2 linked regions of the Drosophila melanogaster genome follow. The protein of the gene in region 2 interacts with the protein of the main gene of each other region in a pairwise test. Each region holds a gene or a part of one and is shown on either strand. Other genes may lie near its edges.

The links.
Region 1: the proteins of Boot (region 2) and Pura interact in a two-hybrid assay, tested with the Drosophila melanogaster proteins (one large-scale study listed by BioGRID).

Annotation. Positions count from the first base shown.
Region 1 is NT_037436.4:7,588,907-7,601,309, reverse strand, and holds the start of Pura (Puratrophin-1-like), read right to left. Parts: upstream 8,220-12,403; 5' UTR 8,033-8,219; coding exon 7,865-8,032; intron 4,081-7,864; exon of another isoform or gene 4,057-4,080; coding exon of another isoform or gene 3,907-4,056; intron 1-3,906. Other genes in the region: t-Grip84 (testis-specific gamma-tubulin ring protein 84), read left to right, coding at 10,392-12,403.
Region 2 is NT_033778.4:9,088,843-9,100,992, forward strand, and holds Boot (bootlegger), read right to left. Parts: upstream 5,817-12,150; 5' UTR 5,690-5,816; coding exon 5,650-5,689; intron 5,586-5,649; coding exon 4,618-5,585; intron 4,462-4,617; coding exon 4,366-4,461; 3' UTR 3,664-4,365; downstream 1-3,663. Other genes in the region: Dbp45A (DEAD box protein 45A), read left to right, coding at 24-382, 449-602, 666-933; Nadk2 (NAD kinase 2, mitochondrial), read right to left, coding at 1,076-1,179, 1,241-1,643, 1,701-1,907, 1,969-2,209, 2,565-2,811, 2,888-2,927; Ctu1 (cytosolic thiouridylase subunit 1), read right to left, coding at 8,469-9,294, 9,347-9,504, 9,561-9,608; CG8777 (uncharacterized protein), read left to right, coding at 9,752-9,844, 9,900-10,111, 10,219-10,411, 10,549-11,144, 11,210-11,287, 11,347-11,761, 11,812-11,994, 12,051-12,150.

The sequences.
Region 1 (12,403 bases), on a different chromosome or scaffold from region 2:
CTTCTAGTTCAGTCGGAAAAGTAAACTAATAAGTTAATCTTTTCGAAACTAAATCTTTAGAAAGCATCACATTTTCTTGCAGTGCCTGATTCTGGGCCTGCATTCCGGCGATTGGCCACCGCTTGATGATCAGTGCCCAGTGGCCATGGCAGTGGCACGCACGATCTGGAAAAAAAAGAGGCAGAATCAGAGGCAAATGCAATTTGCTGTCATGCCAACTCTTGACCAAGTGCCGACCACTGCTCATCAATTAATTGCCCCGACTGGTCTGGTTTGGTTGGCTTTTGGCTGTGCTTTTGGTTTCGACTTGGAATGGGTTCGGCCCGCCCGGGGGCGTTTTGTCGGTGGGTTTCGGTGGGTTTTTATCGGCGGCGGTGGTGCGTGAGTCTTGGGCAGTGGGTCGTTCGGTGGTTGGAGCTGTGCTGCTAGCCCGCTGTTCAAATTATGGCCGCGCGTCAAAAGGAAATCGAAAATGTTGCACTAGTTGGCTGGACAAGCCATTAAAGGAAGGTCGCCTCACTGCACACCGACAGCACAACCTTGGGGCTATGCCATGTATCTAAAATATATGCCGATCTCCCATCTCCTATCCAATTCGATTCAGCACTCTCTCACGCATCTACGGTTTCACCTAACGCCGTCGTGACCCAAATCGGAATCGAACATCTACCAACCACCATCCAAGATACGCTCCCCTTTGATTTAGTGGACTCGGACAAGATTGGAAATTAATTTTTATGCATTTCTTGTCACATTTGTGTTAATCAAAACATTATGACTGCGTTTTCGTTTATTAATTGAACAACCTACTCCGGCAATCTAAACACCTGCGAAGGAGCTGGAGCCTAAAAGCAAAAAAGCTGAAAATGTCATTGCCATTGCCAGTTGGACGCACTGCCTCTGCCCACAAAGCAAATTTAATTTATTGCGTGTGATTTTGATAGCGTAGAGATATACAGAAATATTGCGTCAGTAACTAATTTGTTAGACGATCGTTGTTGCTCGTTGAAGATTGTAACGGGTCGAAAAACTAATATATTAACAAGAATTATAAATCTCATGGTTATTCCATTAAACGAAATACAATTACATCTCGATATGTTTATTAATCGTTGAAAGACCTTTTAAGTTAGTTTATTAACATTCGCATATAAATGGAATTAAAGCCTTAAGATTTAAAGTCGTATACCTTTAAAAAGTAATATAAAAGCCTTGTTTTAGCAGCATATAAAAATGTGAAATAAAATATGTTTATGTGGGAATATGTAAAGATAGTGTAGGTTGTGCAAATTGCATTTTTTAAGAGAAAGACTGAGTGTGTGCGTGTGTATCTGTGTGAAAATGCGTGGGCCAAAACTGCCACTGCTTCCAAATTAAAGTGACAGCTCCAAGAAATTGAAAATGACTGTGAATGCGTGTCGTTAATGGGCTGTCCTAACCCCAGACTAAGGTTAAAGAAAGAGAAACCGAAAGCTGGACAGGAAAACAGGTAAACTGGTAAACGGCGGGGGTGGCCAATATGAAAATGCATTTGCATGGGAGGTTGTCTGGAAAAAGGCCAAAATAAAAATTATAATCTTATATGATGGGTAGTGCTCTAAATGATATTTTACGAAACAAACTGTTTAATGATGAGCCAATATTAAGTGAATAAAAAGGCAATCAGAAAGCTAACATATGTTTTCAATTAATCAGAAAAACCTTCTTAGGTTTTACATCACCTAAACCTGTATCTCAGCTAACTCGACTGCCATAACTTTGAAATGATAAAGACATTGTTATTAAACAATTTCGCATTTAAAGGCGAACCATGCCATTGCACTTCCTTCCACTTATAGGTCAGATCGTCTTATTCGATTACAAAAAAACCCATTTCCTATATCAAATTTGCATCTCGTGCGTTGAATAACAGCTGCATGCCAATTGTCGGAGGTTTATGAAAGGTTCAATGTTTCAGCCTTTTCCGCGCTGAGATTGCAAATGCGTTGCAGATTTTGGTTTTGAGTTTTTAGTTTTCAGTTTTGAGTTGCATTTCGCTGTGGCCGACGAAGACGAACTCAAAGTCGCGAGTTGCAAAAATTCCCACGTCGTGCGTGAGTGCGCGGGAAAATATTAAACAGATTTTCATGTCGGAGGAAAAGCATACGAAAAATCGCTCTCAACTGCAGTTAACAGCTTCGGAGATTCGATTTGAAAGGCGTTCGTCGTCGACGATTTTTTTTTTTTTTTTTTTTGTTGGCAATCGCATGTTGCGGCGTTTTTGCATGATTTCTAGTTAAAATGCAAAACTCTGGCTGCGATAAATAAATATGCATGCCTCGGATGCAGCGAACAATGTGGAAAAAGGCAACCGAAAACTTAAACTGCACTTTGAATCGAAACTGACGAGCAGCGGATGCACAGCCCCCATCTATCCCATTCCAACCCATCCCCATTCCCATGCCATCCACCTATTTGGAATTGGCCAGCCAGCCAACCAAGTTAACAGCGGCAAAATCACCAAACAGGCGGCGCAATTAGCCACCGCTGCCTGCTGCTAGTTGCAATTGCTCTCTTGCTTTATTGGCCATTGAATGCACCGCTCCGCATCCACCTGTCCGTCCGTCCGTAAGTCCGTCCATCTGTCCGGCCAACAAATGAGCCACTGATAAATATTATTAGCGCACGGCCAGTCGCAGTGGCAGTTGCACCACCGAAACCACCGAAAACCAAGTGCAAGACCAGGTCCTGCACCCAGAGTACACTGAAAGCAATTTTACATATATTCAAGAAGAATGAAAGGCCATTTCTGATATGACCTATATAAGTCTCATTCTTCAATTGCACCTTAACATTTTAAAAATATTTTATATTTCACATTTGTTTAGACCTTTTATTGCAGTGCACAGTTCGGTGCACCGGCTGCCACATTTGCGGCATAATCGCAATTTATTTAAATGCGATCCGGGGACTGCGGGGGATGGGACTATTTTGGCTACCACTTGAATTGTAGTCCTACCACAAGTGCTGCTGCCACTCTGCAATTAATATCGACATTTTAACACTTTACGTTGAAATATTGCATCTCTTACTCTTTCCGATTGTTATTATCAATGGGGGCAGACAGTCTTGCCGTCCGTTTATCTAGTTTGGTGGTCGTCCCTGATTCTGCGCAACAGCTTTTTGCCTTGTCTACTCTTATTTTGGCTCCTGCTTTTCCAAGCCGCCAAATCGCGGCTATTTCCTTTGCATTTTCGCTTTGACTTTTCCTATACCCCCGCTATCGTATTTCGTTAATGGGCGGGAAATGCAACTGTCGCCGCACACGAATGTCAAGGAAAACACCGGCGTACATAAGTAGAGATTGCCCTGGCTGCTGATTGAATAACTCCAATCGAGGTGTGATCGAACTAGTTCAGTGTCGGAAATTGCCAATCCTAAGCGTAGCAAATGCAGTCGTAAAGTTTTTCCTCAAACTGCTCGAGAAATGCAGTTAATTCGGTGCTAAAAAATGTGTTTTATGCAGGAGTATATACTGAGACTTTAAATACCTTAGAACCAAAAAGTAATAACTAAATTAAACGCAGCACCTGCAAAATTCCACAAAAACCTGTTGCTCGCATAAAAGTTCCCAAAACTCCTTGCAATGTTAAAAACTTTCGCCAACTTCCCTTAACGAACTGACCGAGCGTTTAATCACAAATCAACTTTCACGCCCCCCCAAAAAAGCGCAAATCACTTGAAAAATATGAACTAAAGCTAGCCACATTAATCTACAATTACTTTGTATGGCCAATGGTCAGAGCCGAGAAAAATGACTCAATTTAAATCAATAAAGGGCAGGCACTTTCGCAAAGGTACGTGGTGACCCCGAATGCTGTGGCGACTGAGGCATTCACTGGGATAGAGGGATAGAGAGTGACCCACCGTCTGAATGGCCGCATACGAGTGCCAGATCAACTTGGGACTGAGGGGCCGAGGATCGTAGTGCAGGCGGGCATATTGCTTCATGAATATTTTCCAGATTACATAAGCCATCGTCGAAGCGTCTCCGGTCATAAAGATCGATATCCACATGCAAATTATATGCGTGCCAGGAAATTGCCGGCACATCCACCTCCAATCCAGATTCGGGTACGGGTTTGGGTTCGGACTTGATGCGTAGTTTGTTGGATTGCGTTTATTGTTTTCATAAATAAAGCGCAGGCACACCGAAATTTGTCGGCTCGCATTATTATTATTATTATTGCTTATTATTATTGTTGCAATGGCGATATTCACTTGGCCAGACAGATTCACTTCATTTTTCACAGCACAATCGCACAAAAAAAAAAACGATTCGAACCGAACCGAATGGCTTAAACCAACAAAGGCAAAAGGCAAAAGGCTGGGCGCATACAAAAGGAAGGCAGTGTGGCAGATACTTTTGGCTCCCCCTTCTCGTGATCTTGTGTATTATTTTAATATTTATTTACATTTTGAGCATTTTGCATAACGCGCGGGTCACGACGGAAATCGTCGGCTGGCAATTTATCAATACATAGTTGTGTGGCCTAAAGGAAAAAGCCAGAGTTAAAGCCGCGGAAAAACTAAAAAAAAAAAAAATGGGCAGAAAGGTTCGCAGACGCGAAATCAAAACAAATGAAAAACGCGCCAAAAAATCAAAACGCGCACAAATTTTGCTTCACTGGGCGTACGTTTTCCTTTTTTGTGTTTTTGTATTTTTTTGTTGTTGTATTGCTGAATCGGTCGAAAAGATCAATATAGGAAAAACGTCAAGAGCCATGAAGTCCGTCTGTCCGGGAAACGAGTTCAAAGCGTTTGCGGCGGCCGCTTTGCGCCAACTAAATTGAAATGAGCGGAGCGCGAAATGGAAAAGCCCAGTCGGTATCGAGGGTGTAACTCACAGATACTCGTACTCACCCAAACCCATTTTCCACTGACTGCAGGCTTCAATGATTTTCCATGCGTGCGACGAAACGCTTGTTGTTTGCATTTCGCCTGGGCTTTTTCGCTTCATTTCAGCTTTTTTTGCTCAAATCGAGCCCAGTTCAGTTTACTTCAGCTCAGCTGACTCAACCGCTCGTTGGCCGGCAGAAAAACGCTCGCGGAACATCAATGGCAGCAACAACAATAAACACAGCACACCCACAATTATCGGTGATTTATAGTGGATGTGGATAGGGATATCTCCACTTTGACGTGCGCTTGGTCACCGATTGCATTAGAATACAATCAGCGAAGGAATACATTTACATACATTTCCGAGAACGTTGCTTTTCAATCTAATTGTTTGGACTTTCGACAACTCAAAAAATATACATATAAATAACCAAAGTATTATGCAGATCAATGCCCAATTATTGCGGGCTGCAAGATTGCTTGGTTATGCAAGGAAAATGATTAAAAAATTAAACAAAAACTGGACTATGTTCTATTTTATGTAGTAAAATCCCTGGCATTACTGCTACGTCTTCATTATCATAACTAAATTTTTTATCTTTATGTATTTGTATAGTTAATACTTCTCTTCCCAGTTCATAGAGTATCTTATAGTACAGTATCTTTCACTTCCATTTAGTCAGCATTTCCGACTGGGGACTGAGTTCTGTTTTATGCACAATGTTATTGTTTGCCCCGCTGAATAGCCGCCGCCCGTGTTTCATGCCCATCCCTCTGCCATAATTGTGGATACAATGCATCATATATAGACATCTTCAACTCCTGCCTTGAACTTGGCAAGTTCCCATATTATACATATGTATATACAAAATGAAGGGCTGGCTGTCCACATATATTTTGTTTGCTACTTTGTCGGTGTTTAGCTGAATGCCTTTTGACGGGCATTTGTTTACGATGCCAGACGCAGGCTTACCCTGGAACGCTAACGAGCTCGGGATTCCTTTGGTTCCTGGCTTCGAGATCCCCATGCGATTGCGTTATCCGGAACACGCGATGAGTGTTTACTTCGCTCTGGTTTCACGAAAAAAAAATCTGAGCAGTCGCTGAAACTTCAAGTGGTGCGAATAAACATTTGCCAGCGGGATAAACAATATATGGGCTCCACCGATGGCCCATAAATATAACTATTAAGTGCTCTTCCCGGTGGGTCTGCCATATATTCCACTTGCGAATGCGAACGGGCATTAGAATAAAGTTGCACAGCAAATTGGGTTGTGAGTAAGAGTATCAATATTTCCGCAGTCAATTAAAATCAATTAATTCCTAAGCTTTTTGTGATTCACTAGTTCGTGATTTGATTCCGGGCTTAATGACTACGTATATCATATATCATATGCCCTTTACAAATAGTTTTCTAATTTACGTTAATCATATGCATTATAATATTTTAGAATTTTACAATTAACTTTATGCATGCAATTGCCGCATTTCAGCTATTTGAAAATTCAGTTTCCCTTCAGACCAGTAACATAAAAATAAATCACCCATTTTGCAGTCTATTGGTTTATATCAGTTTGCAGCCTAAATATTAGAAAACTTTTTAATATGCCATGGGCGTTCAGCTTAACCCCTACGTGCTCTGTTTGAGATCCGCATTGTTACAAACACAAAAATTTCGAAATCGCACAAATGCCAGCTACAGATAATTGCCAAAAATCACCGGCAAAGTCAACTCAACTTTCATAAAACGGCATTCAATTTGATTTGCACAATTTGGAGGCCTCTTAGCGGCTCCTCGACTGTCGGTCGGTTTTCACATTTGTGGCATTTTGGCGTTTGTTTGAATTGATAACAGGCTGAAAGTGCCTTTCAAGCTGACAGCCATAATCGCTCAACGCCAACTGTTTGGCGGGCTAAAATAGTTGGGGGGTTGTTGGGGAGTTTTCCCGACTGCCAGGGGATGGAATTATATAGAACCAAGCCTATGTCTCCGCCAGGTCGATGGACACACCCATCCAGGCAGAGCGGGCGGAAAGCGGAAACGGAACAAAGCCTCAGACAGTGGCCAACTTGGGCTCAGACCAATTCAAACCAGCAACTCCGATGGAGAAATTATAGCGAGTCACGCGAGTGCTAAACTTTTCTAACCCTTCTTCAGCAGCCGGCTGTGCCCCGATTCGCAGGAAAACCAGAATTAGCTAAAAATTGCACCGAATGCCCGAAATGATTGTAGTTAATTGAATTTGCAGCCTGGCTGAATAACTTTTAATTGAATTCCAGCTAAAATCTAAAGGTTGTGAGCTGGAGTGATGACCCACTTGGGGATCTAGTGCAGGATGATCTAAGTTGGGTAATAAATACATAACTCTAATTGGATAGTCAGAAAAGGGACAAAAACATGTTCAGGGTTAGTAATTAGGCATACCTTGATAAAATACAAAACTTATTTTGCCGGCCTGTATAATAGAGCACTGACTTTATTGACTCTAGAAAGTGCTAAGTACTAAGGTAATGAAAAAAGTCACTTTTTGCGAATAATATTAATGACTACACAGATGCTTCTATTTATTAAGTTGTTCTTGTAGATTAATGGTACTCCTGTGATCAGTGTCAATTTCATTTTGGCTATGCAACTTCGTTAATATTCTGTTAAAGCTGGCTATTAAAAAAGTAGTAAACAGCTGTTTAGTAATGTCTAAAGCAGCCTTAAAATATTGAAATTCGAATAACACTCGCTCATTGGCTTTCGTAATTGATAAATTGAGCAACTACTTCAAGAGAATACCCTAAATACATAGCTATTCTATTTCCACATTGACTCTATCCAGTCAAGTCTATATATTTATTTGTTCACCAATGATCTCATTTCAAAGCCCATTAAATTCTGTAGCAACTGAGATTAAGTATATCAGTTTAATGGCTTTAGAAGTGGCTAAATGATGTGGTCACGTTGCTACTACCCTATTTCTTTCGGTGTACTCACGTGACACTGCCTTCTGGCCAGTCGGCGCCTAATCCACTTGAACGCCTCCTGGCGACGCCGGACAAAGGACATACTGGAGCGGTGCCACAGATGCAGGACGATGACGAGGACGCGCTGCACCCAGACTCCCAACCGCTCGCTCCACACTTCCCGGCGCAGCTGGAACATTAAGCACAGCACTCAGTCCGATTTTCAACGGAATCAAATACCATAACTTTCGCGAATGGCTAAGCACTGCGATATTCCTGGGCGGATTGGCCAAGACGGCGGGTAGCTAATAGAATTTCACTTTTGTTTTGGGGGCGGTACGCGGTACGGAACCGTTGTTACTTCAGTTGCGTTTGTTGTTTGACTGAGAATGCCGCCGAGTTTGTTTCTCCACCTCGGCAAACTTTGAGTGAGTGTGAGCAGTAGACTCCTCGACTTGAGACTCAAGACTTGAGACAGAGAGAGAGCCCTGCACTTGCGATTGTCACCGCTACTGATACTTATACTGTTTTTTTTTTTATTTTAACGTTTTTTTTTTTTTGTTGCTTTCCGCGTTTTGTTTATACAATTTTCTGGTGCGGACCGTGTGCGTGTGGCTTACTGGGGAACCCAGAAAAATCGTACTACTCGTACATAAATAATGCAATAAGTTGGGGCCCCACCGAATCGAGACAAAAACAGAAGGTGGAAAAATTGAAAAAAAAATCGAAACTGTTTTTGCATTCGCTGCACACATACACACACACCCATCAAACATCACACCTCTTCTGCTGTCCGAACACTCGAATACTTGAATACTCGGCTTTTAACCGAGCTTTGCACTCAATTTGATTGCCGGCAGAAGCGGCTGCAAAATCCACGGTAGTCACATGCGACACATGTGAAACACGCAGGGGAGGCCCATTTTACGGTGAAGGCGAAGGTGTTGCTTTTGTAATCGGCGGCCTAGGCACATTGGTCGCAAAACAACTAAAATGGGTGGTCAAATTTGGTATGTGACTCAGTTCAAAATATACAATATACATATATATCCAAATTAGATTATTAAATGGAATGTACAATTTGGAATAATCAAATATTTTTGAAATTATCTTCCTTGTCAAGTGGCAGTATACGACGTTTCATGTTAATATTTAATATGTTAATGTTAATGTTTAATATTTATTATTTAATTTAGAAATATTAAAACAAAGAAAGATTAACGCCCATGGTAGTGCAAAATTTGTTTTAAAATTAAAAAAAATATTTTATACACTTTTAATCGGGCATTTCTCCATATCATATTACCACTGTACTTGCACTAGTTCGTGTGTGGGCGTTTCTAGGCGATCCCTTGTACCGCGCCCAGTCTTCGAAGTGCAAGCGCCGCTAGGCGACGAAGGCAAACAAGTGTTTTGGGTGTCTGCTATACTCGTAAAATGCGAGGAGGATAAAAGCCCATGGAACGTCTATCGGAAAGCTTTTGGAGCGTAGATTAATGTTACTGGCTGTGGTCGGTCTGCTGGCCGTGTTGCTATTTTGTTATTTACCCGCTCGTTGCCAGTACGGTTATTTATTTATTTATGCTAATGTTGCTGGCAGAGCCGCTGACGCTGCATTTGCATTGTTTAGAATGAGAACAGCGAGAAAACGAGCGCAGCAACAAAAAGGGGGCACAGACAATAACAACAACTATAACAACAACATGTGCAACAGCAACTGCAGCTACAGCGGTAGCAACAAAAACACGACAAGTGGCACTCACGCGACAAAGGCCCATATATAAAGTGTTCTCATGGTTATCTCGTTGCCTGTGCGATACTTTCAAGTGTTTCACATGCAGAGGAAAAATTGATTTTTATCAATATAATAAACAATACACATATTCACATACATAATTCACTCACTGCAAATCATTTTCATTAAATCCAATTCATAGTTTTAAGATTTCACAAATTTGTTTAAGCACCCTAATAATATGTACCAAAAAAAAAATTTCTCACTGTGTGCGGATATTTTGGATACAAGCACATAGAAAGTTCGAAGTTCCCATCGCGTAGAAATTGATGGAAAATTCTCAGCACGTTCGTCAGTTGGTTCTGCTGCTCCGCTTGATTGACAACTGGGCGTCGGATCGCCCAGCTCAACTTGAATCGTTGAAGTATGGGCTTGAAATGCACCTGTGGCTCCAAACTTCGACGAAACCAGAGGCGAAGATGTCGCCGCTGGGCACGATGATCGATGGGGATCCAGATTCAAAACCAAGTTGATTTACCTCGACGATTCAGCGGATATCACCGAAAGTAACCACCTTTCACAAATGGCTAGAGTTAAGTTTGATAATAAGCAGAAATGGAAATCAGAACTAGCAGAAGTTAGGTGTACTCAGCACTAGCACCTATTGTTATAACAACCAAAAACTCTACTAACTTTACATATATTTAATTATTTAATTTCAATCTATCCAACATACCTTAGTTATTATAATCATTCAGAGAACACTTAAATAATTTTAAGCTTCGAAATCGATCTCTGTTCTTGATATATTTTCTTATTCACCATGAACTCCGACAAATCGGAAAGTGACTTCGCGAACAAAGTGCGCTTTCACCTCAGTAAGGACGAGCTGGAGCGGCAGATGAGGAAAATTCACGACCGTGAGGAATCCGTAGACGAAAAAATGCGTCCATCAGGAAGCGAAAACAGCGGTCATAATTGCAATACGAGCTCGTCCTCAAGTCTGCCACGGCAGGAGTCCTGGATCTTCGAGAGCGTTGGGGGTTACTTTCTCGCCAACGAAAATTTGGCCAAGATGAGTTTGCCTTGTCAGGAACAGTTGCTGATGAGGGATCTAATCTATGCCTTCTCGGGTGTTCCATCTGCATATGTAAAGCCTGATATTCAGATCGATCAGATTTCCGAAATGTCTGCAGTGGATATAGCCAAGATTCGCTTTCGATTGAAAAAGACCTTCACTGGGGCTTTTAGGGCTTTGGCCAATGAAACATTACCCCTGATAGGTTATTATATTAGTGTACAGAGCTATATAGAGGAGACCAATATGTCGCCTAACTGCGGAAGAACACGACTGACCTTAGCCACTGCCTTAAGTGATCAACTGCAGGACTATTATGATCTACAGTCCAAGTTGGAAACGGATTTGCAGGACAAGAAGTTGGATCTCAAGGATCTGGTGCGACAGGTGCGTCCTTGGTTGCCTATTTTGAAGACTTTTTCCAACATGGCCAGCAGTGCCCGTGGCAATTTGACCAGCGCCCAGGTCCTAACATTGCTGGACCAGTTCTACCGGGATCTGAAGGACACTGATATAGATCTAAAGGAACGAGTGAACAAAATTTTGACTTCGACTAGTCGAGCTTACATGAAAATTGTTCAGCTTTGGATGCAAAAGGGTGTTCTATTCGATACGCAGCATGAGTTTTTTGTGGAGGACACGGAGCCCTCGAGTACAATGAGCAGTACTCTTTTGGCGCCGGAGAAATGTTGCCACGCCTACTGGGCGGAACGGTACCGCCTTTTGCCAGACCGTTTGCCCGGTTTCTTGCTTTCCCAGGCGGATGATATTTTTCTGGCCGGAAAGTACCTAAACATTTTGAGGCAGTGCAATGTTTCATTGAAGCTGCTACAGCGGCCACTAGCTTATAGTCAAGGCGATTTGGGACATGAGGAGATCATTAAAACAAGCTATGAGCTGCCAGCACATAAGTTTCTCAAGGTTTTGGTGGAGGAGCACAATTTGCCTTTACACATTCGCAATTTGAAGTCCTATTTCCTGCTGCAGGAGGAAGGCTTCTCCGAAACTTTTCTGCACAAATGCCATGAGTACCTAAAGTACAATGTGGAAAGGTTAATTCCCGAGAAGCTACAGACTCTTCTAGCAGAGACCCTGCATAAGTCCAATGATTTCATTAAGGATAATGTTCGCTGTCAGCTTAAGGTTTGCGATGTAGCCACACTATTGGGTAGGCAACATAAAGCACAGAGAGCTGTAGAAGATGAAGAAGAGGAGGAGAAGGAGAGCTGCAGCGAGCAGGATCCTCCGGAGGTCCTGAATCTCTACGGCTACGAGGCATTAGCTCTTGGCTATGAAACAAAATGGCCACTAAGCTTTATTATCTACCCGGAGCTCCTAGAGCAATTGCAGATGTTACAGCGTGTCCTGTTTTTTTTGCACTATGTGAAACATCATTTGACAGTCCTTTGGCAAAGTCCTTGTGAGGGTACGGGTCTCCAGCTAACCAATCGATCTGGAAAACTTCGCCACCGCATGCTAATGTGTATGCTAAGTCTGGAAAACCACATCATCCAGGACATCACCGAACCCCGATGGCAATCTTTGACCTTAACGGTGGACAAGGCAAAATGTATCGACGAGGTACTAAACAAATTGGAGAGCACCGTAGAAGAATGCCTGCGTCTGGGGTTACTACCCACTGCCAACACGTTTGTGAAATCTCTATACACACTCGGTCATGTGTGTCTCAACTTTTGTGACTTTGTGGAATCCTCGATAGGAGAGAAAAGTACCAAAGAACTCGAGCAGGAAGTGGT
Region 2 (12,150 bases):
GATTTAATAACGAATCATTTTAGGTACTGTCAGCTTCTCTCGATGACACTGAAGAACATGGAAATCGATAATGTTTGCTTGCATGGTTTCATGCGGCAAAAGGAGCGCGTAGCTGCTCTAAGTCGCTTCAAGTCCAACCAAATACGTACACTGATCGCTACGGATGTGGCCGCCAGAGGTCTGGATATACCCAGCGTCGAGCTGGTTATGAATCACATGCTTCCCCGGACACCAAAGGAGTACATCCATCGCGTAGGCAGAACAGCAAGAGCGGGGCGCAAGGGCATGTCCATCTCCATATTCCGCTTTCCACGCGATCTAGAGCTTTTGGCCGCCATTGAGGAGGAGATCAACACCAAACTTACAGAGCATCCCATCGATCGTAAGTTTTGTTGGAATTAGTGGCACACAAAATAACTATCTTTAATATATATATTATATAAATTAGAGCGCATGGTGGAGAGAATCTTTATGCAAGTAAATGTCACGCGCCGTGAATCAGAGATGCAATTAGATAATAACGATTTCGACGAGCGAGCGCAAAACTATAGGCGAAAGACGTGGATTATGGAGGGGAAGGACCCCGACCAAATGGAAGCTTTGTAAGCAGTGGAAAATACGCATATTCGTTGTATTTTATAACAATTTTTGTATCCCATCCACAGGTATCGTAAAAAACAGAAGGATAAACTAAGGGAAATACGCCGAAAGAGAAAACTGCAGCACGCAGAGCCGGCAGCCAGCGAAGAGGGCAAAGCTCTCCTACAGGACGAGCGTTTTAAATCTGTAGACAGTGCGAGGTTTGAGAAGAAGGGAAAAGGACGAAGTAGAGCCACCCAAGAAGATACCCCAACCAAGCCACTGAAAAGGCTTAACAAAGAAAAACCAGTTGCCCAAAAGGGCAGAGCAGATGTCAAGAAAGATAAAGCGTGATGTTTAAATATACTTTTATAAAATAACAAAATAACTTTTGAGCTTACACTGCTAAGTAGTTGCAAAATGCTTACTTAAATAATTTCAAAAATTCAGACATGCTAGAGCGAGATGACCAGGCACTAGGGGCGCATCACTGGATTCAGTCTAAAGCGATTGTCAGAAGGGCATCTTCTGGGTGAACCTCTAGCAAAGCCTTGGCGCCATCGTTGAAGGGGAACGAAATGCTGCCATCTATAACCAGGTCTGTGGAGATGTAATTGTCATAGTTATATCTTGTTTCGTATTTGAATGTCCAACTACTCACTGGCATCGATGCAATGCGACTTGACAAACACGGTCTGCACAAAATCGCGCTCCTTAAAAGTCTTTGGCGAAGGCCACACGCCCACGCAGATTTGCTCCCGGATGGAATAGCAGAGGCGCGGGTCGTCTGGCGCGAAGAGCAGGCCTTGGTTGTACCGCTGGGCGATCTCCTCTGCATTTTGTCGTAGCATCATCACGTTCTTTGAATCGCCGTCGGGCAGGGAACGCAACAGGTCGTCCACATCTCGGCTTGTGATGCGATTGATGCTGGTGTGCCAGGATGTTGAGCCCGTGCCCGTGCTGACGCACAGTCCGGAGCATTTGGTCTTGTTCACCACGTCCTGGTGGTCCAGCACCAGTTGCAAGTGGGACACTCGGGCCGATAGATGCTCGCCAATAAATACCTATGTAGACAGCTTGTAAGATCTAAGCAATCCAGCATAGAATCCTAATTGTCTTACCTCGTTCAAAGCCAAGTAAGGAAGAACACGTTTCATCTTGGCCTTGTACTTGTAGGCCATGTCCTGGTCCAGCATTTCGGGTGCGGTGCTGACCTGCTCCATCTTGACCTCCGTGTGGCGGAAAAGGTCAGTCGGCTCCGGAATATTGCCGTTGCTACCAAGCATCGTAGTCCGCACCCTCGAGCGATGCATCCACTTGAAATCTCCCTGCCAGGAATTTGAATATTTAATGAATGAATTGTGAGAAGTGGCTCGTTCCAGGACTTACGCTCTTGATGCGGGAAACGGCGTCGGCCGGATTATCCGAGTAGTGCTTGGGCAGCATGAGTCGGCCCTCCGAGTGAAGCGGATCCGAGTTGAAGCCCACGATCGGCGTCTTCTGCTGGCTGAGCGCGAAGAGCGGACTGGCGCGTCCGGCGGAGAGAAGGAAAGTGCCATCGCCGCCCACCGGCACGATGACGTCCGCCCAGCTCATGACGTCCTTGCTCAACGAGCTTCTAAATTCAAGTCTGCTCGTTTAGTAAAGTCAACACACAGGGTGAGGTGCCGCATGGGAGACACGAAGTGTGTGAAGATGGTGGAGATCAATTGTAGCGGGTAGTAGTCACAAATCGAAGATACATATAGGTATAGTATGTGACGAAGTGACGAGGCACGCAACACAACATTGGTGGCAGTGATTGGAGGCCTAAAGGTGTGGATGTCTGGGTACATGTCCTCATAGAACTAATCTCATTCAAAGCAATGAAATCATTTCCATGGCTTGAGTACATTTACTCATTTACTTGAGTACATGTACCTATGGCCTCCGTTGCTTTGAGCTGCACTCCGATCACTGAATTGGAGGACTACATGGGTACGCACCTGCTGGACAACTTCACCTCGCAGCCGACGTCCTGGAAGCTCTGCACGACCCGCCGCTCGAAGTCCTTGTGCACCTTGTGCAGATGGAGGACCATCTCCACGTCGGTGCCCCGGTCACGGAGCTTTTGCTGGAGCTGATCCGGAGACAGTTCCGGGTGGCGTAGCTGCTCGAACTCATAGCGGGACAGCTTGGTGACGACCAGGGCCCGCTTTAGCTTGAAGTTGGTCGGCGTATATTTAGCGTACTCTGTTCAAAATGGCAATTGCAAGCGAAAGACCTCGTTAGTCCGATCAAATGTGGGTCCTCGTCACGGGAAATTTACTCAAACCCTCGGGAATAATCTTCCTGCCGTTTTGAAGCATCCTACGGCCGAAATCGATGTGTAACTACTAGGTTTTAATGGAAATTTCCCGGAACAGCTGATAAACAACACAGTGCAAGTGGAAAGTATTTTCCCTCTAAAACTTTTAATGAAACAATGTTATGTATTTGGTTTGTACCAATCATGTTTTTCGTAGATTTTCCTAATGGTTTGACATACTGCAGTGAGCTTTAAATACCATTATTAAAGATAAGTAAAATCAAGCTATCCAGTATGTAAAATTTGTTTGTTTATAATCAATATAATTATAGCATAACAAAGTTTAGTGACACACACTTTGAGATCTGCGTTCAATACTTGTTGAAAAGTTGGTTAAGTTAAGTTAATCCGGAAACCAAAAAGGATATTTAAGATAATATCCACTTTCTGAGCGAATAATTTTGTCAGCCAGTGTGCGTGGGGAAAGTTCATCGTGACAAAGAATTTGGCGAAAAAGTGTTTACTGATAATCTTCGGCTTGGTCGGCGTCAGATGCGATTAAGGCTGTCAAGGCGAGCCTACGGATCTGGTGATATGGTATTAGTTTACTCCAGCACATGCCTAAGGCTGATAATGGAGGCGGCAACGAAAACACAGATAGCTAGGGTGTGTAAAACACCTCAAGTTGTGCCATTTCGGCTCCGGAAACCCACACATCCTTACCTTTGGAAAACTGTTGGAGCAACTGCTTCGACTTCAACATGCTTGGCACTACCGAAGACGAACAACGCACATTTAGGGTACTGTGTTCAGTTTATTTCGTATTCGTTAAGAAAATCGTTTGGGAAAAAGACTACGCTATAAAAGTAACCAAATGCAAAGAATCGATGGCTCTTTCTTCAGTTGGCCACTTTCGAATGCTTTTGCACAAACAACAAAATAACTGCGTGTTCGTTCTACACTCGACAAAGCACAAAACATAGGTTGAGGTTAGTGTTTAGCACACTATCCTAAGTTACGATCACTACTAACTATCCCGCTATCCGATCCCGATGATCATTTTCACGTCCGCTCTCTGGGTGCTTGGCAGATTAACTGATTATTACTCTGTTCGTCTCCGGCACATCAGTTATGTATGTATATAAAATCGCCTTCGCTGTAAATTTATCGCCGTTTGTTTCTATTTTCGTCCGCTTTCGCTTCTCACATCTCGTTCGTCCGTGTGTACTTCTTGTTGTGCATTACTGATAAGAGGCCCAGCCTGTTCTTATCAGCCGAAATATGTGTTATATATATAAAAAAAAGAGGCAGAAAGCGACTATTCACCCCTGCCATTCACTGGGCATCGTCGAAATCGTCTTCTTCTTGCCTGCGTCGACTCGCAATTCGCACAGAAAGTGCCCGCCAATCCGGCGAACTTAATTTAAACATGGGCTGCTGAGTACTTAGAAATAACAGAAGTCAGATAGATCCCTTAAATGCAACTTGATGTCGGTTTTCTAGTTAAAACGTTGCAGTTGGTCCCTTCCTCCTTCACGTTCAGGCAATGCGACACTTCGGGACTCCTCCATCGGTCCGTTTATCCAGTCGATGTTCTTAAATAAGAAAACCGTAAACTTATTTAAAAATACAAAGTTAATATGAATCATTTCTTGAAGCTTAATGCCTTTTTTCTTACACGTGCAGTTTGTAAGGCTTTCTTTCAAATCTCTATTGTGTGGTATTAGATTACACATGATTTCGAATATTACCTTGAAGATGTCACACGAGTCTCCTTGGTTGTTTTGCTGGGCAACGCTCTTGAGCAAGAGCATCACGTTGTGGGCCATTTTACTGATTTTCATGCTCTCGGAATCAACTGCTGCGGGTTTCAGGTCAGTCTGCGGCTTATTAATATCCTGCGCTTCTCCAGCAAACACATTCATCGAGTTGTCCGTGTAACGCGTGATGGTTTCACAAGGCAAATGGTTCTTGACACGATTATCCGGAATGTGGGACACCGAATCGATTAAAGAGCCGATCGAGGTGGAGCCGGTCCAGTCGTAGTGGTCAGGTCCCATGTAGTTGCGGCTGCTACGCGGATCAGTGGGTGCCTGGTGAGTATACTGGAAATGTTTATTTACATCAATGTCAAGGTCAGTTTGTTGATTTGAATGGATTTCTTGACTGCTGAAGGCATTGTAGGCGTAGCGCAGGACCTCCTTCTTGGCAATCTGGGGCTGGTGCTGATGACGATGGAATTCATTCCGTTCATGGTGATTATACTGACGATTGCGTCTCTTGTTAAAATTATTACGAAATCGAGAGCCTTCTCTCAGATCAAGGCGCGACTTAACGTGACCACGTGCCTGGTCACTGAGCCCCAGTTGAGCCGCCGCTGATGGCCGGTTGACGTTGTTACCATTCATGCGCCACGTGGCTGAGCCTTGTGAGGCCTCCGAGCTTTGAGACTCCGTCTCGCAGTACACCTTATCAAAGTCATTAATCTCAAAGTTGATTTGCGAAACATTGGAATCGAACTCGGTTAGAATTGATTGGCCATTTGCTAGCACGGAACCCTGGAAATCTTCAACTTCAACATCGGTATCGCCACCCTGATCCTGGTCCTTGTAGGTTTGCAAGTGCCCCAGCTGGCGATTATCGCCCTTGGGGGCTGCATTACTCGAGTATCGTGGTGGTATTCTGGGTTTTGGTACTACGCATTGCTCGAAGTACTCATCTGTCAGATAAAAAAAACGAATATTTTAAGGACGATCACAAATTGAGCAGACATTTTTACGTACCCAAAGACAGAATGACTCCGGATGCATTGAAATCCGTCATCGTGCACTCGCAATTAAGCCTAAAATATAGAAACAAAAAAAGCTTGGCGCCGCGTCAGTCTGGTCCGCAAGAAAAACAGTTAGAACCACCGCGTTTGTAGAGCTGCAAGTGCTGCAATCGAATATTACCACCCGGATAAATCGAAGTAAAACTTCTTTGCACTGGTCAGCTTTTGAGTTTTTACACCCGTTACTCGTAGTGTAAAATAGTATACAAAAGCATATTCTTGATCAGGATCAATAGCCAAGTCGAGCACCTTTGCCACACCCCTCCTTATAATTACAAAACGCTCAAAACACACTTATGAACAATTTTTAATTTTTTCTCATTTTATTTAGCAGTATCTATCATGATAAATTTTCGTGTTCGCATATCCACTAGCTGAGTAAGAGTATTTTCTAGTCGGGTAGTATTTGTCTAAGATCTATTCATTTTATTTAAAGTTTATTAAACATAAAATATTATTAGTGTTTTATTTGTGTGAATTCTTTTTCTTTGTTTATTTTCTTCTTTATTAAATTAAATCAAGTATTGACTTAAGTTTAATATGGGGCAATAACTTGTATGTATTTACTTAAATCGTTCAATGCGAACTTGTTTTGGTAAATCAGTTTTTCATAACAGTGCGCCACCTTGAAAACAGACCACAAACGCAGGCGTTAGGCGTTTCAGTATTCTTGAAAGTACAAGCAGCGTGCACACTGCACCACCAATCGCCGCCAACTTCACTGGCTTCTCTTCACTTTTTTAAAGAACGTGGAGCGAACATCACCGCATTGGAAACGATTAAAAAAATATATATAAAAATGTAAGTATTATAGATATGATAGGCGACCGGTGAGTGCAGCGATTATAACTGCAAATCGAGTTCTACTGGCTTGTTTGCAGAACTCAATGTTGCAAGATTAATTTGTGATGCGCAGGGAAATGCACTTCACCGATTGCAATTCAAATTGCAGTCACGTGGTCGAGATTCCATTGCAGTCTCAACAAATTAAAAATTAAAAAAGAACGTTAGCTAAACGATGCGTTTGCTTATATTGCAGGTGAATCTGTGATTACTAGGCGCTGCGTTAAAGCGCTGGCATTTGTGAATTGGTAAGTTTCATCATTGTATTTATTTATATTTTTGTTAAATAATATTAATATTTTCATGCGAGCATGAGTCGCTGGTGTAAAGAAACTACTACTTTAGCTAGTGCTTTTTACTTGCTCGCAGAAAAACGTGCTTTGCCCAAGCATAACCCAAATTTAAAAAACCCGAGTTTGCGGTGCATATTATTTTCGTGAAGCTGACAGTTTAAACCCTCTTAACTAGCTAAGTTTAGTATTTGCGAATATGGCTAACCCAGCATTCCATTTTCAGAAACAAAATGGCCTCTTATGCTCAACACGTGTTTTCTGGCAGAGTTGGAGAGAGACAGACGGTAAGAATTCGTTCCAAATCCCAAATTAGCCCTTCTCAGTTATCTGATGATTTATAATTCTATTTTCTGACATCTCTTATGAACCGTTGTGATTCAAATCAGTTATAACTAATTCTGACACATTCGACTCTCAACTAAATATAATTTTTACTTGTGGCCGTGACTTATGAGAACTCATCTATTACTTGCAGATCGGTCTTTCGATTTGGATTCGGAATATAAATGAGGTTATCAGCGTGAAATGGTAATTATTCTCTTCATTTATGAAAACTACTTAAAATTTCGTGATGAATGACCCTATCATCATCTTTCGACTGAAAATCATTTTGATGCTATACTAGTTTTCACTGAATTTTAAACGCTTTAAAAAAACCTGTTAAAAAGATTGTTACATTTGAATAACACAAATATATTTTAATTTCAGTTCATTGCAACGTCAATATCATGTATCAAACGTGGCTCACTAACACAGTGAAAAAGGTAATAATTCGGTTTAAGATAATAAAAAAATTTAGTTTAAATTTTATGTGTAAATTGGACAATTAATTGTGTTGTGATGAATGAAACTTACACCATCTTTCGACTGAAAAATGTTATGAAGCTATACGAGTTTTTACTGAAACCCCTTCATTTTATTATTTTTGTGTTTTATAAGTTTTTTAGAAAATCGGTTGCTGCTCTTTATAACCATTTAATTTTTGTCATTTTGCAGTGTTCAAGAAAACCACCTTTGATTGTCGCGTCATATGCCCAAACAAGGATCTCTCCTTTGAAAAGGTAAATTATACTCTAGAACGAAATAATATGTAAATGATGCTTTTAAAATTTCTGACATCTCTAATGAACCGTTGTGATTCAAATTTTTCTAATATAATTAACTGATCATTTTAAAATCGCTTAAACGATTGAGTTATATTTGAATAACTACTTATTTGTATTGTTTTTGATTTTTTTTTTTTTTTTACAGATGTGAAACATGCGTAGCAAAATGAATCCGTCAATGGTTCATTTATAAATTCCAATATCTAAAAAGGTTAGTACGAAAAGAGATTCTGTTTAGCGGAAATGAAGATTTCAATGATGATCACTTAAACCATTCACAGACACCATATAAAGGTCAAGCGCTGGCAATCTTCTTCAATATTCTTTTGGAGATAGAGCGTCTTGTTTGACTGGTTATGGGCCCTGGTTAAAAACTTGGCACTGAGCTTCATAATGCATTCTAGTATTAATGAAATTAGCCTGCGAAACCAAACTTATCGTTCCTGTTGTTATCTTTTCAGGTTGGCAACCTTGGATGAACACAATTTGTATCTTGTGGAATCACGAATAAATAAAATTCATATGTGTTCTTAAAAATCGTTTTTTACTAAGTTTGCTCGCTCCCGCAATGCTAGTTCCTGGTTCTGCTTGGCAATCATTCGCTCGCCCTTCGACTTCTTGCCTATGCCCAGCTTCGGCAATCCTCTATTTAGACCCTCGAGAAGGACGCACGCCTTGCACGGCTGCTGTGAGGAAACGAAGCCACATCGGGTGCATGTGCCACGCTCGGGCTTCTTTACCGTGTCCTTGAAGCGAAGCTGTTCGCCAGAGTAGATGATGTCCATTATAACCGATGGTCGCACTTTCTCCAAATCCTTGAGAAACGCTCGAGCGTGGCCGCGATACGCATTGGGGGCGAATACGCACTCCGTTGAGAAGTAGACCAGCTTTTTGTAGTGGGCGTACATCACGATTTCTTTCTCGTAGCTGTACTTGAGGGGCTTCACTCGGGGAATGGTATCCTCGCCCCCGCCGGTGCGGATGCTCGTGCAGCGTCGCAGGCGCGCCGTGTCCCCACGGAGCACGTTCATCAAGACAGTCTCCGCAATGTCATCTGCATTGTGGCCTGTGGCTATGCTATCAACGCCCAACAGCTTGGCCCCTCTATCCAAGGCCTGTCGGCGGAAGACGCCGCAAAATGTGCAGTTGTTAGAACGGCCGATCTGGGCAACAATGCGGTCCATGGTCCAGCCGTAGAGCTCCTCGTAGGACAGGATCTTTAGTGGCATCTGGTAGTCGTCACGGTTCTGTTTCACTGTCTCCAAACTGTCATCCCGATATCCAGTGATGCCTTCGTCTATGGAAAGGAGCACCAGTTCCAGACCGTAGTTATGGCGTTCGTTTAGCAGTTTTAATCTGTAGAACACTTGGATTAGAGAGGTGCGATGGGGGGAATGGTACGACATACACGTGCGCTAGGACCGTGGAGTCCTTGCCTCCACTGGCCGCTACGGCCACCTTCTCGCCACGTCGGAACAAGTTGCTGGAGGAGATTGTGTGATGGATCTCTGCCTCGAAGGCTGCGAAGAAGCACTCCTTGCACAGGGCATCGCCGGTTTTGGGTCGCTTTGGGCAAACAACATTATTAGGATTTATTAGGGGCTGTTTAACTTATGAACTACCTTCAAAGCAGCGCGATTTCCGCACTGCGACTTGCAGATAATGTGCATTTTTACTGACACTTAATTAGCACACAATTTAATTAACAGCTGTTGCACCTTATGCAGCAGTGACCAACACTGGCGTTATACAAAATCAAGTTACCCATCACTGTTTGTTTGGAATAGATGAAAAATAAATATAAATATTTACAATGAGCGCCGTAAAAGAGTCAAAAGCCTTGATCAAGGACATTCGGGAGACCATAAAGCTGGGCAAGCATGCGGAAGCCATACCCAAGTGCCAAGTGACGTCACCATAGAACATACCAGTTATGCATCATCCTAATGCCTTTATTGCAGCGCCTACTTAAATCGGAGCCTGAAAATGCTATGGGCTACTTGTTGCTTGGGGCAGCCTACCAGAATATCGACAAGGCGGAGGCGGCCAAAAACCTGAGGCAGTGCATCAAGTGCACGGATGGTCCGGCCCCTGCCGCGCTCCTCGGACTCGCCAACTGCGCGCCCAGCAACGAACTGCCTGAAATCTATGATCAGTTGGCTGACCTGCAACCGTAAGAATCTGCTCGTGACTCCCTGGTCATTATCCATACTCCATACTATCCATACTAGACTTTGTCATAAAAGGACTACTAAAGTGATCTTTACTTTACATTTTTAGAGAACAATCCTTGAACTATTGGGAAAAGCTTTTCAACTTGGCCTCTGACTCAAATGTGGCTCCTTTCTGCTTCACTGTACTTAAAAAGAGAGTGCAGGACACAGAGAATGGAAATTTTACGAAAATTCAGGAGTATCTGGGACGCATTTGGGTTTCAAACGACTTTGAAATTGCGCCCGAAGATACTCAGCTTGTAAGTTACCGTATAATTATTAATTTATTTATTAAAAATAATTTTGAAATATAAAGAATTATAATTGATATGAGCACTTTCATAGCTCAATTTCTTATTATAAATTAGTGCGTAATGACTAATTACACTTTTTTCAGTACAAAACGACTATGGAAGCTCTGCTGCAGAACTCTGAACCCAGTGCAAGGAGCGTGGTTTACAAGCGATACCTGAAGTGGCTTTACAAGAAGCAGGATTATGAGACTTGCGTGCGGCACGCCTGCAATATGACCGAGTCGCATCCCAAAGATGTCTATGGCTTCGAGTGGATATGCAAGACCTACTGCGAACACCACGAGCAATCCGAAATAGTTAGTTGGCAACAGGAGCTGAGGCATCCCATTCAGGTGTACGCTGAGCAGCTTCTGGAGCTTAATCCTAACTCTAACCTTGCTTTGTTGGTTAAAGCCCTGGATCTTTTCGCTGAGGGGCAGGTCGTCGCATCCAGGCAGTTGGCATTGCAGGCACAGAAAAGTCAACCTGCGTACAAAGTAACGCTGGAATTGCTGGCTCGTATCCACATGGAGCTGGGCGCATACAAGTTGGCCCTTCAGCTGTGGCAGGAAATTGGACAGGAAAACGACGCTTATGCTCTATGCTTATCGCACGAAAAAGGCGTTTCAAAACTAAGAGAAGCTGTCACGATTTTACAAACGCTTGAAAACTCCGAGGGCAATATTAAGTCTTTGGCTCGGTGAGCTTTTTATCAATAGTATTTGGTTTAATAAAATGCATAACAAGAGTTTATTTAATTTGCAGCTGCTACTTCAAGCTGGGCGAACTGCACTTGCTGAAAGATTTGCCCTTGGATGATCTGACCAAAGCAGAATTTGTTTTGTAAGTAGGAAATCCAAAAATTAAAGAAGTCAATCCACCTTTTCCATCTGCTATACTAGATCTCCATCTGAAGCTCTTCAAGAAATTGCTGACTGTAAGACTTTTGAGGCATACCTACTTTGTGGCAAGCTGCATATGGCGCTGAAAAACTATTCAGACGCTCTAAATTATGTGTTAAAGGCCACTCGACTGCGCCCACACTTTGCCGAGTGCTTTGACTATCTGGGCAAGCTGTACCCGCTGGCCACTGGGGACTTCTCACGAGCCCGCAAGTGCTACGAGAAGTGCATAAGCCTTAATCCCCTCGCTGAGGAAGCTGTGGATGCCTTGAGCTTTATCTACCAAGAACAGGGCGAGGAGGAACTGAACGAGACCCTGCTGCTGAACACATTGAGCCATTTGGGTAGCAATGAATCAATTCGATTGCAGTACAAGCTGGGTCTGCATTTCTCGCATGTGAAGAAGTGGGACAGTGTAAGCAATTGATTATCATTGATGAATCCGATTTAACACTTTTATTGCAGGCAATACAATGCTTTCGCATTGCCATTAAGAATGACTCCCGCTGCATTAGCTACTGGGAGTCATTGGGTGATGCTTATGCGGGACGCGGCTCGTACAACTCGGCTATTCGAGTCTTTCAAAAGATCCTTGAACTATCTCCGGAGAATAATTATGCCCTGCTTCAAATAGCTTCAGTGAAAACGGTGCCACATTCCAAAATTAACAAGAAAACATAAATAATTTTTACCCCATTTAATAGACAATACGCATGTACACTGAATCTATTGAAGATTACGATACGCTGCTACAACGTAATCCTACTTACCTGCCCGGACTTCGAGGTGCTGCTGAAGCGCATA